Linked DNA regions of Rhinolophus ferrumequinum. The protein of the gene in region 2 interacts with the protein of the main gene of each other region in a biochemical or structural test. Links are inferred from orthologs where the notes say so. Each region holds a gene or a part of one and is shown on either strand. Other genes may lie near its edges. The genes, in order: CD72 and SEMA4D.

Region 1 (7,852 bases), about 47 Mb from region 2:
ACTCGCAGGCCTGTAACTTCTCTTTGACAGCCTGGCAATCCCTCCGTTCCGCCTGTAGTGTCTCCTGACTCTGGGCCAGCTCCCTTCTGGTCGCCTGCAGATCCTGTTCCCTCTGCCTCATCTGGGCGGTCCTTTGGTGGAGCTGCTGCCTCATGCTGCTGTTAGTAGCTTCCAGAACCCTGTTCACGTGCTGGAGCTGCTGGGACACCTGCAGATCTGTTTGGCCATAAAGAGAGATTTGGAGGGCATCATCTTCAGCTGTGCCCTGGTGCCCCGAGACTTCAGTGTCAGCCCTTTTTGCTTCTTGCAACGTTTTGCATGGCAGGCTGAAATAGAAGATCGGCCTAAAGCTTAAGGAGGTACTGAATCACGTAAGGACGATGAAGACATAATGCTCTAAAACAAACCTGGCTGGTGACTCCAGCCCCTGCTGAGGAAGCGCAGCTATTGGGGAGAGGAGGGGAGAAAGTTGTTTGGGGTAAGTGGGAAATGGGTGGGGGAGGGCAGCCATACTCACAGCGCACTCCCAGGGAAATGGCAGCCATCCCTAACAGCAGGCAGGTGAGGAGCAGGCCGAGAAGCAGGTATTTGGAGCAGGCTGAACCGCCTTAGGGAGACAATGGGATGGGGGGCAGTGAGCCCCAGGAAAGAGTTTATAGACTGAGGGGTGGGTGGGGAGATTCACGGGAAAGAGCCTCCCTCAGAGGACGTGGTGCAGACCTGGTTTTTGTGGGGCAGTGAGTTTCCACAGGTAGCGGAGGGAAGGCGTTCCAGAATAAGGGCTGGGGCCTGTGACTGTAAAGAGTGTGACTGTGCACTACCGGGTCGGAGGAGGCACCAAACCTCAGACCGAGACAGCCGCAGAGGGTATACGAATGGGGCCCATCGTAAGGGGGGAGAAGAGGGGAGGATCTGGGTCGACACATCAGAAAGATGGGGGTGAAAGGGGCAGGGGGGTGTCGTGGAGCTGCCCAGGCGGTCCGGGGGACTGCGCCCGGGAACAGACCTGCACACAGCAGGACCCAGTACCACCCGCGCCCGACCCCGCACCAGCACAGCACTTCGCGCCCACCCCCGCGGTCCTTGCGGGGTCGGCAAGGGGAGTGAGGCCGCGGTCGCGCGCGAGCCCCGCCGCCGGCGGCGCGCGCGGCCGGGAGGGCGCGGTACTCACACTCCAGAAGCCTCCTGGCAGCGGGTGACGTCACGGAGCTCCAGGACGCTGTTGGCAGCTCCGACTGGACTCCTGCGCAAGGCGAGCGAAGTCCAATGAGCAGATGGGAAGCCCCGGGAAATGCCCCTTTTCCCACCCCTCACACCCCCTCCACCTCGTTGAGACTCCAGTGTCCCCCGTTGCCTTCTGCAACTGCTCCGGGTCGCCCTTTGCACTCCGTGGAGTTCCCCAGCTCCCCCGGGACTCTCTCGTGTCCCTCCTGGACCTTATACCTATCTGTTCCCCAGGGACCCACTCCTCGCCCTTTTGGGTCTCCCTTTATGTTTTCCGCAGGGTCCCTCTCTGCTTGTGCCAAACCCGCTCTTGGGAGCTCTCTCATCCCTCTCCCCTACCCTCTCTTACCCGTCGTGTGACTTCCTAGTTCCCATTCGAATTCGTCTCCCCACGGCGCTGTCCTGATCTCTCCCCGATCCCCGCTGCGATCTGGGAGCCTTGTTCTTCCCCTGACTGCCATTTATCCGGTGCTCATTCTAACCTTTCCTAAGAACCCCCACCTTTTCCCAAGGGTATTGTCCTCCCAAGAATACTGCGGACTCCCCAGCTCAAGATACACCCCCTACACAAACACACATCCGTGGGCTCTTCATACCGGTTTTGTCCCCTAGTCCAGAGGAAGCCAAGCTCAAGGGCCCCCCGGAGACTGAGGGCACTTGTACATTCTCATAGGTGAGTTCCCCATCATCATCAGCCTCTGGGTCTGGAGAAGAGAAAAAAGGGACCAAGATGGGGGTCAGGAATGAGAGTCTGTGGGGTGGGGTGGGGTCATGAAGGGGATGGGGATGCAGAATCAAGGAGATACTCAGCCACCCCTTACCCTGTCCTAACTGGCTGGAGATGCTCTTCTTCAGGGGAGCCTTCACAAACCGCAGGTCTGCATAGGTGACAGCCTCAGCCATGGTCCTGGGCACCTCTGCCCCACCCGTGTCCCCCTCTTCCACTGGCACCAAGCTTCCCTTGCCACTTTCCCCTCTGTCCTTGCACACTCTTAGGCTGTGTTCCCTCTGTGAATGTACAGCTTACGGCTTTGCCCTGTGACTTCCAGTCACAAAAGAGGAAGGTGTGAGCAAATCTCAGACAGATGGGTTCAGTGAAGTGGATCATATCCTTGAGCACTGGCCAGAGCGTCAGGGGAGGAGAAACTGAGGTTCAGAGCATGGGGGTCAGGACTGGGGGGGGCAGGTCACAGGACTACTACTCAGGTCTGTCCCTGTGTCCTGCCTGTGCTCCACCTTCATGTACCCCAGACCCACTTTGGCAGTGTCGCCTCCAAATACCCATCCTCCTGATCATCTGCCCTGATTGGCCCCATGGCTCCTCTCCTGGCTACCTTGTCCACAGGCTTTCTCTGTGTAGTCAGAGCTCTTTTGTGCCCAGCTGATCCCAGAGGATCCCCCCAATCATTGCTCTAGGGTGGGGCTTCATCCTCCCCATCAGATTGGGGGGTTCTAGTATGGAGCCCTAGCTCCTCATCATCCTGGGGTTCCCAGCAGGTATGCATTCCCAGAAAAGGGTCCCTGATTTTGTGGGCTCATCTCCCCATCAGTTTGGGAGCTTTTAGAGTGAAGCCAGCTCCCCTCCTGCTGTAGTCCCACAGAGCTACTGAGGATCCCACACACAGGGAGGGTCTCACACCGAAGCTCTTCCCGGGAATCGCAGCCTTTGGAGGGTGCAGAGGATCTGGGACCACACTGCTTCTTCTCTGCAAACGCCCCAGACGTCTCTTCACAGCCTTTCCCTGGCCTCTTCCACCTTTGTTGCCCTACCCAGCACACCTGTGGCCAGTCAGCCCCTTCCTGGTCCCATCCTGCCCCCTGCTGGACTCATGGCATCAGCTGAGTGCCAACATCTGAGCTGGATCCAGCAAGCTGAGTCCAGGAGGCAGAGGCTCTGGGATAGGTCTGGGCTGGGGGTGAGGATGAGGGCAACCCCAGCTTGTGCATCTCTGGAAAAGCCTGCAGCACTAACTGCTCATGAGCCCTTTGGTGTTGGGGGTGGGGTCAGAGAGCAGGCAAGCGGAGGAGTGGTATAGGAATGAAGAAGTGCTTAGCTTCTTAGATGAGGGGAGGCAAAGAAATGAAGCAGGGCTGGCTGCTATGAGTACAAACTCCGGATCAGCTGAGGTTTTGACATTTTCTTGGTTTGGTTTTTGTTTCTTTCTTACTTTCCAGTAAAGTACTTCCTTAAAAAAAATCTCAACGTCCCTTTACACCCAGCCCTGAGGAAAGGGGAATTTATGGGGGAAAACCAGGGACTGAGAGGCCCTCATCGCTGATGAAAGCCTGGATGATGGAAGAGAGGGAGACCAGGGGAGGCAGGAGGGGCCTGCTGAGCAGTGGTTCAGAGGTGTTCCCTGATGTTCTTTTACCAGGATGTGACCTCAAAACGGCCTACTTCTGGGGGTGGGAAGAAGCTGGGTCAAGACAAGGTATGGAGGTAGGAAAAACCCACCCCCAATGGGTGACATCCGCCCCCTCAAAATCATCCCCTGCAGCTGCGGGGAGGGGAAGGAAGGGGAAGAGGTCCTCACCACATGCTAACAGCTTGTAATATTTGATTAGTGGTGTGTGGAGGAGCGCTGTGATGGGCCCACGGGTCTGTGGGGAGCTCTCCCCAACAGTGTCACCCAGCCTGCCCCAGAAAAAGTGCATTTGTTATCTAAGGACTTGTCTCAGGGAGAGGCAGGGGTGTGTGTGTCTGTGCATCCCCAGGTCTTTGCGGTCTCTTGGGGGTGTCTGTGGGAGATGAGCGTGTTATGTCAAAGCCTGCTCCAGGGGATTAAGCACAAAGGATTCAGTGGGCTGAAGTGTGCCTGTGATAGCGGTTATTTTTTTCCACAGCAGGGAATGACAGGCGATTTTCAGAAAAGTCTTGAAAAGTCGTGGGGACGGATTCTACAACTATTTCCTTTGTGAGGCTCCGTGTTTCCTAAGGTGTCCCTGCAGCTGTTAACCGTCTCTGCTTGATTAAAGTTTCCAACAACCCAGTCCCCTCCCCCAGGCACCTGGTCAGGGCCTCCCCCAGATAACAGGCAGTGCTGTGTGTTGGTGACTCCCTGGGGACCTCAGGCCTGTGAAAGTGAGTGGGAGTGTGCAGCACAGCTGTGGCAGGGGTGAGTGGGGGCAGTCGGGGTACTTGTGTCTGTGGTATAGAGGGCAGAGTGTGTGTAAATCAGTTGCAGGAAGACTTGTAGGAATGCTATAAACTGTAGATAATGTCCCGGTTTTCAGAACAAAACACAAGTGAACGTGGTTTGGATGCCAGGTAAAATGCCAAAAGCCAGTTTCTAGTATGTGCTCAACAAAGAATCAGTGGGCATGCTGCCTAACTTGACTCTTGGAGAGGCTTCAGAGGGAGGGAACTGGGATGAACCAAACTGCGCACCCACCGTGGCCTGTCTTAGGCAGGCTTGGCCCGTATTCCTCTCCTCTTCCGCTCTTTTGGCAGACTGGAAATGCGGACTGTCGTAAGGTTACACATCTCCTGTGGCAGTCCGCATTTCCTTCCATCCTAAACTGTCTTGTGGCCTTCCTTTACTAATAGGTATGAGAGCAGGGTCCTTCTTCCCCATGTGTGTCACATGGAGTCTGAAATATTGACACTCATATTATCTTTCAAAACTGAACATCAGGAAGGACACCTGTAACTGCGAACTCTTACCTGCCCAAATGTCAGGAACACCTGCGGCCTTTAAGAGCTGAGGGGCAATGCTGTGCAGCTTTTCCAGGACCGTAATATCACCTGTGGTCCCAGAGGACAAATACCAAAGCCCAGTGCTTGCCTTCTCCTGACCTCCGCTGTTTATTGCAGGGAATAGGTTGTTAAGGTGACAAGAGGAGGGAGCCCAACTCTGAGGGCATCCAAAACAGAATTGGCTGTGTGGAAAGGGGCTCACCTGGATAAACTGTGGTGAAGTCCAGCCAACATCAGGAAGTCAAGGAAGTCTCCTGAGACCCTGAAAGTCAGGTTATATCTGGCTTCGTTAAGGTAACCCACTGGCTCCAGGGGGCCCAAATCTATGGATAGGGCATGGTAGGCAGAATAATGGCCTCCCCAGAATGTTCACACTCTAATCCCCAGAACCCGTGAATATGTTAATTTACCTGACAAAAATGTAAATGTGATTAAGTGAAGGACCTTTAGATGGGGAGATCATCCTGTTTTACTCTGGTAGGCCCAATCTAATCACACAAGTCCTTGAAAGGAGAAGCTTTCAGGATCATGGAAAGAAAGAGACTCAACCATGGGGGGCGGGGGCAGAGAGATGCAACATGAGAAGGACTCCACCCCAGTTGCTGGCTTTGAAGGTGAAGAGCCAAGGAATGCAGGTATCTTCTTAAAGCTAGAAAAGGCTTCTCTAGAGGCCACCTGATATAAATGGATTCTCCCCGAGAGCCTCCAGAAAGGAACAAGCCCTGCTGACACCTTGATGTTAGTCCAGCGAGACCTGTGTCAGACTTCTGACCCACAGAACTGGAAGATGAGAAATTTGTGTTTTTTAAGCCACTGAATTTCTAGTCATGTGTTACAGCAGCAATAGATGAGTTTCCCGAACTGTGGAAGAAGCATGATGTAATGGAAAGAACATGATATTATGAATAAAGAAGTCAGCCCTGCCACAGAATGTGGAAAAGTCACAATTTCCTATTTAAAATATAGGATGGTTTAGAGAATGTCTGACATCAATCAAGGATGTGATTGCTGGAGACATAGTAGGGATTTTAGCAAAAGCATCTTTCAAAGTCTGTTCATAGCTTCAGAGTCAGGAGGGAGAACTGTGAGCCGTCTTACAGCACTAAAGGGGATTTGCAGCTCTGATCACTGAAGCCAAAGAGTAGGTCTCCAGTGACTTGCCCCAGGCCCCTCCTTGGTCCTGTCTTGGAGAGTGACACAGAAAACACATTCATAGATGCTGTTGGCACAGAACTATAAGGAAAAGCAAATATACCGAAAGGGAAATTCAGGAGTCAAACACTGAGGAAGGGCAAAATGACGGCTCCAAACCACAGAATGAAATGTAATACAGATACATAATAACAGCTAGCATTTATTGAAAAATGAAATTTTGAGTTCAAACAACAAATTACAGAAGCATGTAATGGAGGGAGTCTGGCTTAACAATAGTTTATGTACAAAGGTTTGAGGGGAGGGGCAGTTATCAGGCATTTTGGAGCTCGAAGGGATCTTAGCGAGCCCAATCCACTTATTGTACAAATTAGGAAATGATTCAGTAGGCTGTAAGCTACTAATTGTGAACGAACCGCTTAGTTCACAAGGAGGGCTTGTGAAATTCTATCCCTTAGGACTACATCTCCTTTACCAGATGTCAACACTGTGCCAGCCACAAGGACGGTCGCGTTTGAGGGGAGCGAACCCCGCTGATGAGGCAGCCCTAGACGCCAAAAATTGTGCTATGTGACCACCAACTCCTCTGACCTTAGCTGACTGGGCATCTGACTCAAAGCTGTGGTCTATGGGGTGGCTTGGCCTGGAAATCAGGGACAATCTATTTTTCATTCTCAGGAATTTAAATGGAAAAATATGGAGATGACCACTCCGTTAGCAGTGGGAGCTGAGGTAAAAGGTTGCAAAGAGTCTACGTCGGTCCACATGGTAGAGTCCTCCATCCTTAGCGATTGTGCCTGGCTGCTCCCATCTCACACACGTGGAGTGGAGTGATTATCCTGGCAGGGGTCATCAAACCTGATTTTCATGAGGAGATAACGTTGCTGCTACATAATAGGAGCAGGTGGCAGGTATCTGTGTGCCCAAGGGATTCATGGGGCCTCTTGGTGCTCTGTGCCCAGTGATAAACTATCCACGAATGGGCAACTGCAGCCACCACAACCGGAAAAGGGCTCAGTAATCGGGGCTCAGCCTCCTTGGAAATGAAGATCTGTCTGTGTTACCCACCAGGCAGCCATCCAGACCAGCATCTAGTGCTGCTTGAGAGTAAGGGAATGGTAGAGGAGGAAATGCAGTATCTCAGTTGCAGCCTTAGAACCAACCACAGCAGTGGGGATTGTAGCTTGTCCCACTAACCCTCCTGGTCTACTTTTTTATTCCTCTTCCTCTTTCTTATTTTAAGAAGCAGTGACAGGCTGAACTTAATGAGGGACATGAGTAGATCTGAGCAACGCACGAGCAGACAGTGCCTCAGCCATCCCTGTCCTCTCAGGCCTTACCACTTGGTGCACATCAGCCTGGCTTCCAACTGCCAGTGTCTTTGCCTGCAGCTTTTCTTTGGCAAGTGGCTCTGCCCCAACATATGGCCGGTTAAAGTGGCCTCTCCGCAGAGCAGCTCAACCAGTGACTGGTGGGAACTGGTATACACACACAAGCAACCTCGGCCCTGGGGGTGGGTAACTCTGAGGACACATGCTACACTAGCTTTCAGAGTTTTCCAATGGTTTTGAGCCCGTTTGCCACCAAGGATGTAAAATGGTACCTCGCTCTTACTTTAAATTGCCTGTCCCTGTGAATTTGAACATATTTTCATGATTGTTAGCTAGTTGGATTTGCTCTTCTATTAATGTTAGATCCTTTGTACCTATTTTTCTCCCCCCCACCAGAATTTTATTTTGAAACATTTCAAGCCTAAAGGAAAGTTGAAAGAATAATACA
Region 2 (8,242 bases):
CGGACCGTTCCAGAGCCAGGATGTGCTGACAAGTCCTACAGGTGATTGCAAGACCTTGGACGGGGAGTCCCAGCTCTGACCATGGCTCTAGACTGATTCCTGCATTCTGTGAGTCTGTTTCTCCTTGACAGCAGTCCATAAAACCTGCCTCATTAGGGCTCTGAAGGATCCAGGGGTGCCTAAGAAAACTGTGTCCCCCTCCTCTACGCCACCACCACTTGCTTATGTTAGGATGCGGCCGCTGGGGCCGTGAGATTCTGGTCAGACCTTTCCCTGCACTGGGGAGTGCCCCAGCTGTGTCACGAAGGCATAGTACCGTTGTGTGTGGCTGTGTTAACATTTTATTTAAGTCCACTTTGTAGCACATGCGTGTGCTTTACAAGTCCTCATTTACACAGTTTCATCCCCAGAGGGGAGCTGCATTGTATCCTCCCCCTGGGGAGGTGGAAGGGCTGAGGCAGTAGCTGGGGAGGGTGCAGGGCTGGGGGAGTACCTGGGAGAAGTGCAGGGGCTAAGGGAGTAGCTGGGGGAGGTGGGAAGGGAGTGACCTGTTCTAAGGGCAGCACCAGACCTGCACCCACGCAGGCTGGCCTCAGAGCCCACATCTGGTCAGCACACTTTGCTGCCTCCCCTGTTAGGGGGAGAATAAACACAAACTGAGTTAAAGCATCTAATTGACTTGAAAGAAGTATAGAAAGTGGTTGTGCTACATGACTTGATTGTGTTTTATAGCAGACAACGTGAACGTATGTACGCCCTTTCAAAAATAGCTCAACTAACTGGAAAAACTTAGAAGAAGATTGACTAAACATAAGTCATAGAAATTATGTAGGACGTCCCCTAGTAGAAGGAAGTGAACCTGTCAGTGATGAGTCAGAGGCCTGAGTCAGCTTCCTGCTCCCCGAGGTATGAAAGAACAGAGCCTTCTCACCGTCTCATGCTGTCCTCTGTGTGCCACCCAGACCCCTGCAAATAGGCTTTGTGTTCTAGGTAGAAAAGCTTCTCGGTCAGGTTTTGCTGGTGGTTAAAATCAGTCTTTAAAAATGAATTTGAAGTGGAAAATTGGCAATGATCTGAATTCCAACATTATCAGATATAATTGGAACATCGCATAGCCATGGAGTGATACTTGGGAGCCCTGAACTTACACGGGATGATGCCACATGAGGATATTCGCAGGGAACTCAGCACAGTTCACCCAGGGGTCCTGCCTTCCCCTCCTGCGGCCCACAGGTGACAGGTCCTCGCTTCCTTCTTGGACTTCCGGATCTCTGTTTCTGCTGCCCTGTGGCTACCAGCCTGCCTCTCCCACCCCCCGGGGCACTGTGGGGTCATTGCAGCCCCCTCCCCCAGGCCCTGTGCACTGGCACATTTCAGCACGAGCATGCGTGGCCCACCCTCCAGAAAGGGTCACGAGTGAACGCTCTCCTCTATTTCAGTTATTTAGAAGGAGGAGGTCTAACAGAATGTCAGAATGACTGGAAATGATGTTAAGTCTGTCTGCTGTTCTTAAAAACTTCCATTTTGATGAAATCCAGTTAGTAAACTTCAAAAAGGAATCGTATTTATTATTATTAATTAACAGTCAAGGTATTACAGCCTTTTTTTCAATTGTGAGAAATGTGTTTTATCTAGCCTTTTCTATATTTTCCAAATTTTTCACATTTAATATAACTTACTTTTAATACCAGGTTAAAAATATCTTAATTAGAACACCACATGCTTAAGATAAGCATTCAGATAGTACTAAAAACTACAAATACTGAAAAATGAAATACACTCCTACCCCAGACAAAGCCACTCTCGACTCGAGTCACTCACTGCCAGCAGGTCTTTGATTAAATTCTGGTATAATCAAGTAGTGCTTCTGATTAAACTACACACACACACACACACACACACACACACAAATGGTCATATACATGTGCCAACACAAATGGGAACATAGTATAACACTATTGAGAATCTTAATTTTTACTGAACTAAGTATCGGACATTCTTTCATTTCAGTGGCTGCTTTAATCTTTTAAACAGCTGCATAGTATTCCAACCTAGGGATGTGCCACAATTCCTATATAAATAAATATACATATATACAATATACGTATCTGTGTCTACACACACATGCACTCACATACACACAGAATTCTTCTAGGTGTTTCCAGTTTTCCTGTTGAATAGCCTTGTACTTGGGCATCTTGAGCATGTTGGGGTGTATCCACACTGGTCCCTGGCAGAGAACTGCCAGGTCCATCCTCACAGGTGTCGTTCAGTTGCCCAGTGCGTGCAAACTCCCCTGGCCCCTCATCACTGCACTTTATGACCAGCTGTCTCATGGCTGCCCCTCCCAGAGGTGGGATGGCGTCTGGCTATAATGTGCCAACCCCCCCAGACAGGACAGTGGGGTGGAGTACTCGTTGCTGTTGGCGGGCGGGGAGGGTTCTGGGCTGGGTGAGGAGGTTGAACAGACGGGGCTTGAGGCCTCCTACCCGTGCACAGTGGCCGTGATCGGGGCCTTGTGGTGCGGGCCCTGTGCCAGGGCGAGTGTGGCCGTGGGCCCGAGCTCCCTGTGGGCAGGAGGAGGCTGGGGGAGCCCTGGGACATTTTGCAGGAGGGGACTTAGATGTGTTAGCAGCCAAATCCTGCTTTTCGATCCTAGGGAGTCTTCTTATCAAGGGTTCCCAGGTAGGAAGGCTCATCACTGAGATTTACGCGGGGCTTCCTAGGCGCCACACGCTGCCTTAAGCTCTTCATGTGGTCACTCATGGAGCCTCATAATAACCAAGTGAGGTAGGCACTCTGATCAGGCCCACTTTCTGGATAAGGAAACAGGCACAGAGAGGCCCAGAAACTTCCCCACGGACACACAGCTGGTAAGTGTAGGTGCCAGGCCTAGAGCCCAGATCACTCTTCATACTCTCACCCATCCCACCTGTGTCTTCTCCACCTGCTAAAGAGGTCACCTGGCTGGTACCAGGGTGAGAGACTTTTGGAACGAGGGGTCACAGCTGCAGATCGTGGGCAAGATGCACGGGAGGCAGAGGCCCATCTCACCATGGCCTTTGGCTGTTGTCATGAGTGGCAGACGGACCGTCAGACATGGCAGTTGGGTCTCCCATGCTCTCCTGCACTACATGGGGACAGGTTGGGGGCAAAGGCCAAGTTTCCTGGGAAATAATTCTCTCCCTGATTAATTTCATTCCTTTTTTTTATAGTTGAACCCTTGCATTCTTTCAGGGGCAGTACAAGAAGTTAGGAGATGCCTAGTTAAAACCATATCGTTAGTAATTGTGTGAGGAATTTGTATTTTGCATGCTTCAGTGTCGTGATAACTAATTATAGCTTGGAGGTTTTTACCTTGAGAGAGAAGAAAAAATTGCCATGATGAAGGGTACAGACAACCGGGGACTTGGGCCTCTGTGGTTGATTGAGGCCGGAAGTGTGTATTTTCACCCAGAAACCACAGGCTAAAAGATGTTTGGCGGAGGTGACAGATGGAGACTTGGCTTGGAGGAGAAAACGAGTGTGCTGGGTCCCAGTGCACTGGGTGAGGTTATTAAGAATACACACACACGCAGAACCCTAACCTGCCGTCATGTGTGTGTGCAGTACCAGGAATTTAAGGTGAATAAATAGGATGTGTGCTTGTCCAAGCACAGAACAAGCAGCTCTGGGCTTTCATTTATTGAAGTGACAAAGGCTTACTGAATTTCGGAAAGGGAGTTTTTCGGTTATAATTTTCAGTATTCTTATTGTTTCTTATAAGAGGTTTAGATAAAACCTCTTATTTGTGTGTGAATCACTCTTTTTCCCATAAGTATTTTCTCCAGTCTCCAGATGGCTGTTTTGCCCCCTCACCGCCACCTGTGTGACAGGAAAATCCCACAGTTCGTTAGGCTTGCACATCGCCTGTTAATCGGCTGAGCCAAAATCTCCCCCAGCATTAAAATAGAAGACATTGGTTCCATGTCCTGCGTGGATATGGCCTCTCCAGGACACTTCCTGCTTGCTCAGATGTGAAGTTAATTTTGCTTACACATTGGCTGTCAGACGCAGAACCAGTCCTTGGAAGCCCAGCCACAGTGCAGCCTGATGCATCCTAAGCATTTCTGCCTGTTACTTTGGCGTCTCATTTGCTAACTCAAGGTGTTTGCTCAGGATTCAGGGGACATGTCAGGCCCTGAGGGGCCCCCGGTGACCCTGGAAATCATGTGCTGTGAGTGGCCGTTGAACGGTGGGTGCAAGCTGGGTTCCGTGCTGCGGGCGCGACCCCACCGCTCGGGCTGTGTGTGGGGGAAAATGGGCCATTAGCTGTGTTCCCGCGGAGCCCATGCTACTTCTTAGCTGTCTTCAGAGAAATGGCAAGAATTGTGTAAGCTCTTAAAGCAAAAGAAAGGAATACCCCCGCCACAGAAGATGCTCAAGTTTGATTCTGAGGTGTAAAGACTGTGTTGGATCATTCGCAGCCATCGAGGAGTCAAGCTCAGTTGAACCCACTGCTAATCCTGCAAGAATCTTCATGGTGGCCTCTGGCTTCACCACTCAGATTCTCTTTGTTGAACGGTTTGTGATCTCGCTGGACTCCAGGATCTCTGTTTTGAGCGCTCCCTCCTGTACTGTGAAGGAGTAACAAACACATCACAGAAACTTGCTACACCACTGTGGAAATTCTCTGTTTGGCTTAAAAACAACAATCAAAAGGAAAGAAAAATGGGAATGTTAAACAGGTTCTTCAGGAAGTCATTTCTTGTAGATATTTTGTATGTATCTCTGCTTTTTCTTTCATTGCCTCACACCTTTGGTGTTCAAGGAAGAGGAGTTCCAAAGGATACACATCTGAGAATCCCATAATCCTTTTTTGATCAGTGACCATGACCGTGGCTTGAATTTAAGTGGCTTATTTTGCGGGGGAAGTAGTGGCTGTCAGTAGCTGGGATCAGCTCCTGCCTCTGGGTGACTGGCCAAGTTGCATTTCCTTTGTTTATGGGTGAGCGATCTCACACTCACTCCCTTGTCGCATTTGCACAAGTGCATGAATGCCACGCTAACCCTGGGTCAGAGAGTCAGCGACCAGAGGATCCAGAAGTTAAATTCTTCCTAGAAGCAATTGGGGAGTTTCAAGAGGCACAAGATACTGGTAAAATCACTTTTTTTTCCCTCCATCTATATCCCAGTTTAGCAAACTTGACACCTTATGGAAGCCCCAGTGGGATTCAGCAGTTTGGTTGTTGGACCCTGCGTGCTCTTGGGGTCAAAGATGTGGACTTCACCGCCGTCCCTAGGGGTGGCCTGAGGGGGAGCCCACAGGGCAGTGGGTGCGGCAAGTGTCGCCTGTTTTTTCTTCCTCCCTCCCATTGCCTTTTCCCCCCCTGGGCTGCTTCCCTGCTCGCTTTGGACGGATGGCCCCTACCTAGTCTGAGCGTTGAAACGCTCCATCTTCTCTTTGGCAGGACGGTGAGGTCCGATTTCAAAGGAGAGCTCTCAGTGTCGTCGCGCCCTGGATTTGGGTGGTTTTGTGATTCATCTTAATTTTGACCAGTTAGTACATGGTCGCCCATGTATTTCCAGTTGTAGAGGAAAGGGAAATGCCAGTTTAATTTGTAAAAACAAAAGGAAAGCTCTCCTCTCCCCTTCGTCCATTTCTGTGACTCACCTGTTGTGAATGGGCCTAGCAAAGGTGTCGCTCTGCTTGTCTCAGCAGTCCTGCCACCAGCAAGGTCTTAGGGGCTAGTTTGTGCCAGTGGGTGGGCACTGGTAATGATGCAGCTCACCTCGGGGACACTTGGCATTGCATTTATTGGCTGGTTACGGACACGCATACGAGTACATTTCCTGAACAGCCTTGTCTGCTGGGCCAGGCTCGGTGGTTTCTCGCTAGTGTGTTAGGTTGCTGCATTAAGAATTGCAAGCCCAGGCATTTATGTTACAAGGATTTTTTTCCCTAGCTTTTTATCCCCTAGATCATTTGTCTTTGGATTTTGATTGCTGAGCCCTTTAACTTACAGGGCTGATGGGGTCCCCGCTGCCCCTGCACCCACCTTGCTTATGCCCTTCTGAATGCCTGCCAGTTGTCACTGCTGGTTGATTGGCTGGTATGTGTGTTCCTCACCCCGCTGCCCTCCCCTTTCCAGCTCCCGTAAGCATGCGCATGGCACACACGTGCTGGGCTTTGCATAAGGGAACGAGGTTAAGGCGTGTCAGACATCCTGACTGGCTTGTGTGCCCCTGCAACGTTCATTGCTGGAGGTGAAAGCAGGCATCCTGGGACAGTGTCCTGGATGCTTTTCTGTGGGGTGGGTCCAGCTGGACCCAGCTCCAGGGCTCAGCTTGTCCCTGTGCAGCTGGAATGCTGCTGCCGGATGCTCTGCTCTAAGTTCTGGGGAAACTGAAGTTGAAACAATGAACTCTTTGTTGGGCATGTGACACAGAGAGCTCCTGAAATCAATCCTGATTCCTGGGGGACAAGGCCATTTCTGTGAGGTGGTGACATCAGCACCATAGCCAGGGTCTGGGGAGGAGACCAGGCGTAGGGGACGGGACATGAGGTGGGGGAGGGGAGCCTGGGGATGTAGGGGGCAGGCCTGGGGGTAACATCGGCAGGACATGTCTTGGGGTGGCTGCCTCTCTCTGCTCCCGCTGGGAGGGGAGGGTGTGAGGAGGTGCAAGGCCTCCGTTGTACCGGCCACAGGGCCTGGATGGGGAGCAGGGCTTCACCCGTGCTGTCTGGACAAACACTGTAGACAAGAAGCCAGAGCAGATTGCCTCAGCAGTCGTCCACAGCTGTCACCCAGGATCCCCTTTCACAGGTTCCCTGGGGATCCCAGTGAGGGCACTTTTAATGTTGGCTATCAGCCTGTTGCTGATGGGAGCACTGACACCTGATGTGTGGTAGTGAGTGGCGTCCCCTCTGTGACCCACCCCTACTGCCTCAGATAGCTGGTCCCAAGAAGGGAAGCCAAGGCGTGACGTGGGTATGACAGACCTCATAGCACCTGTGGCCCACGGTGCCTGCCTTACTGCACCCCAGCTGGCAGTCACCATTCACATCTAAGAATGCAACACCAGATCAGAATTTTTGTGCTGCAGCAGAGTGTGGCCATACCACACGCCCATGTGCACATACCTGTATGCACACATGCAAACACATGCTCAGGGATGTATACATACATGAATGCACACACATGCATGCAAGTATGGATGCTTATACATACACGTATCACACTTATACAGATGTACGCAAATGCACGTATACATATGCACAGAAACTCCGATGCACACAGGTGCACGCATAACATGCATGCCCAGACGTGTGTGTGCGTGCTGACATGCAGATGTGTGTGCATACAGACATTTGTGCACACAGTGTTGTGAACTAGCTCTTACCCTTACAGTTTGCTGGGTGTGCCTGTTTTCTCTGCCGCAACCCTCCGGCTTGGTTCAAGGCCCCTGGGGTGGAAAGCTGCCATGTGACAGGCACTGACAAGCCCTGAGTGATGGGCTCAGAGACCCCTCTGGGTTCTCTTCTCCTGTTATTTAAAGTGGGATCATGCACTGCTCACAAACCAGCACAATTCCTCATAGGTAATGGGAGTGACATGTGTGACCCTGTCATCCTAATGGGCCTCTGTCTCAGGGTGAAAGGCAGCACTTTGCACAGGGAAGTGAAGGGCTGCTCCTGACGGCTCCCAGCAAGCTGCCTGAGAAATGCCCCGCAAAGCCAGCAGATAGGCACTGCATTCTCTTGTTTCCATTTGAATGTGTCTGGTGATTCCTGATGGGACACCCCGCAAACATCATGGAGGCAGTGTTGCTGGAGGAGAGCACGGTGGCAGCGTGTGCGTGTGGGTGTGGGGTGTGCTTTGCTTAGCAGTTTTTAGATTATATTAAAGAATGCATGCTTGGCAGAAAAGTAAAAGCATCTACCCCTTCCAATGTCATAAAGCAATGTCCTCTGCATGGAGGGGTGTCTGTGTGGCAGGGACCCTCCTGCCTTTGGCTGTCCATGTGCATTTTTTTTAAAGACCATTTGGGAACGAGAGGCAGGGTCCGATTCGGGCCGTCAAGAATCTGGTGTCTGCTGATGAGATAAATACAGCTCAGAGCTGGATAAAATCTGTGTGTGCTGGGGCACCCACGTGCTTCTGCAGAAAGAACTTCTCTGTCCTCCGGTCCCGCTGGCAGGGCTGCCCGGAAATGGCCGAAAGTGACAGCCACCGGCTCCTGAATAGCAGTGTCGGGTTTG

Evidence for each region.
Region 1: the proteins of SEMA4D (region 2) and CD72 form a complex in vitro, tested with the Homo sapiens proteins (2 studies listed by BioGRID and IntAct). The link is inferred for Rhinolophus ferrumequinum from reciprocal best matches to the Homo sapiens genes SEMA4D and CD72.

The regions. Positions count from the first base shown.
Region 1 is NC_046295.1:51,821,812-51,829,663, forward strand, and holds the start of CD72 (B-cell differentiation antigen CD72), read right to left. Parts: upstream 3,314-7,852; 5' UTR 2,128-3,313; coding exon 2,046-2,127; intron 1,929-2,045; coding exon 1,821-1,928; intron 1,803-1,820; exon of another isoform or gene 1,686-1,802; coding exon of another isoform or gene 1,574-1,685; intron 1,244-1,573; coding exon 1,172-1,243; intron 608-1,171; coding exon 518-607; intron 217-517; coding exon 1-216. UniProt on the Homo sapiens protein: Co-receptor of B cell receptor (BCR) that plays both positive and negative roles on B-cell functions. Recognizes the Sm/ribonucleoprotein (RNP) self-antigen ligand, and coligation of CD72 and BCR inhibits BCR signaling.
Region 2 is NC_046295.1:4,543,456-4,551,697, forward strand, and holds the start of SEMA4D (semaphorin-4D), read left to right. Parts: upstream 1-5,082; 5' UTR 5,083-5,137; intron 5,138-8,242. UniProt on the Homo sapiens protein: Cell surface receptor for PLXNB1 and PLXNB2 that plays an important role in cell-cell signaling. Regulates GABAergic synapse development. Promotes the development of inhibitory synapses in a PLXNB1-dependent manner.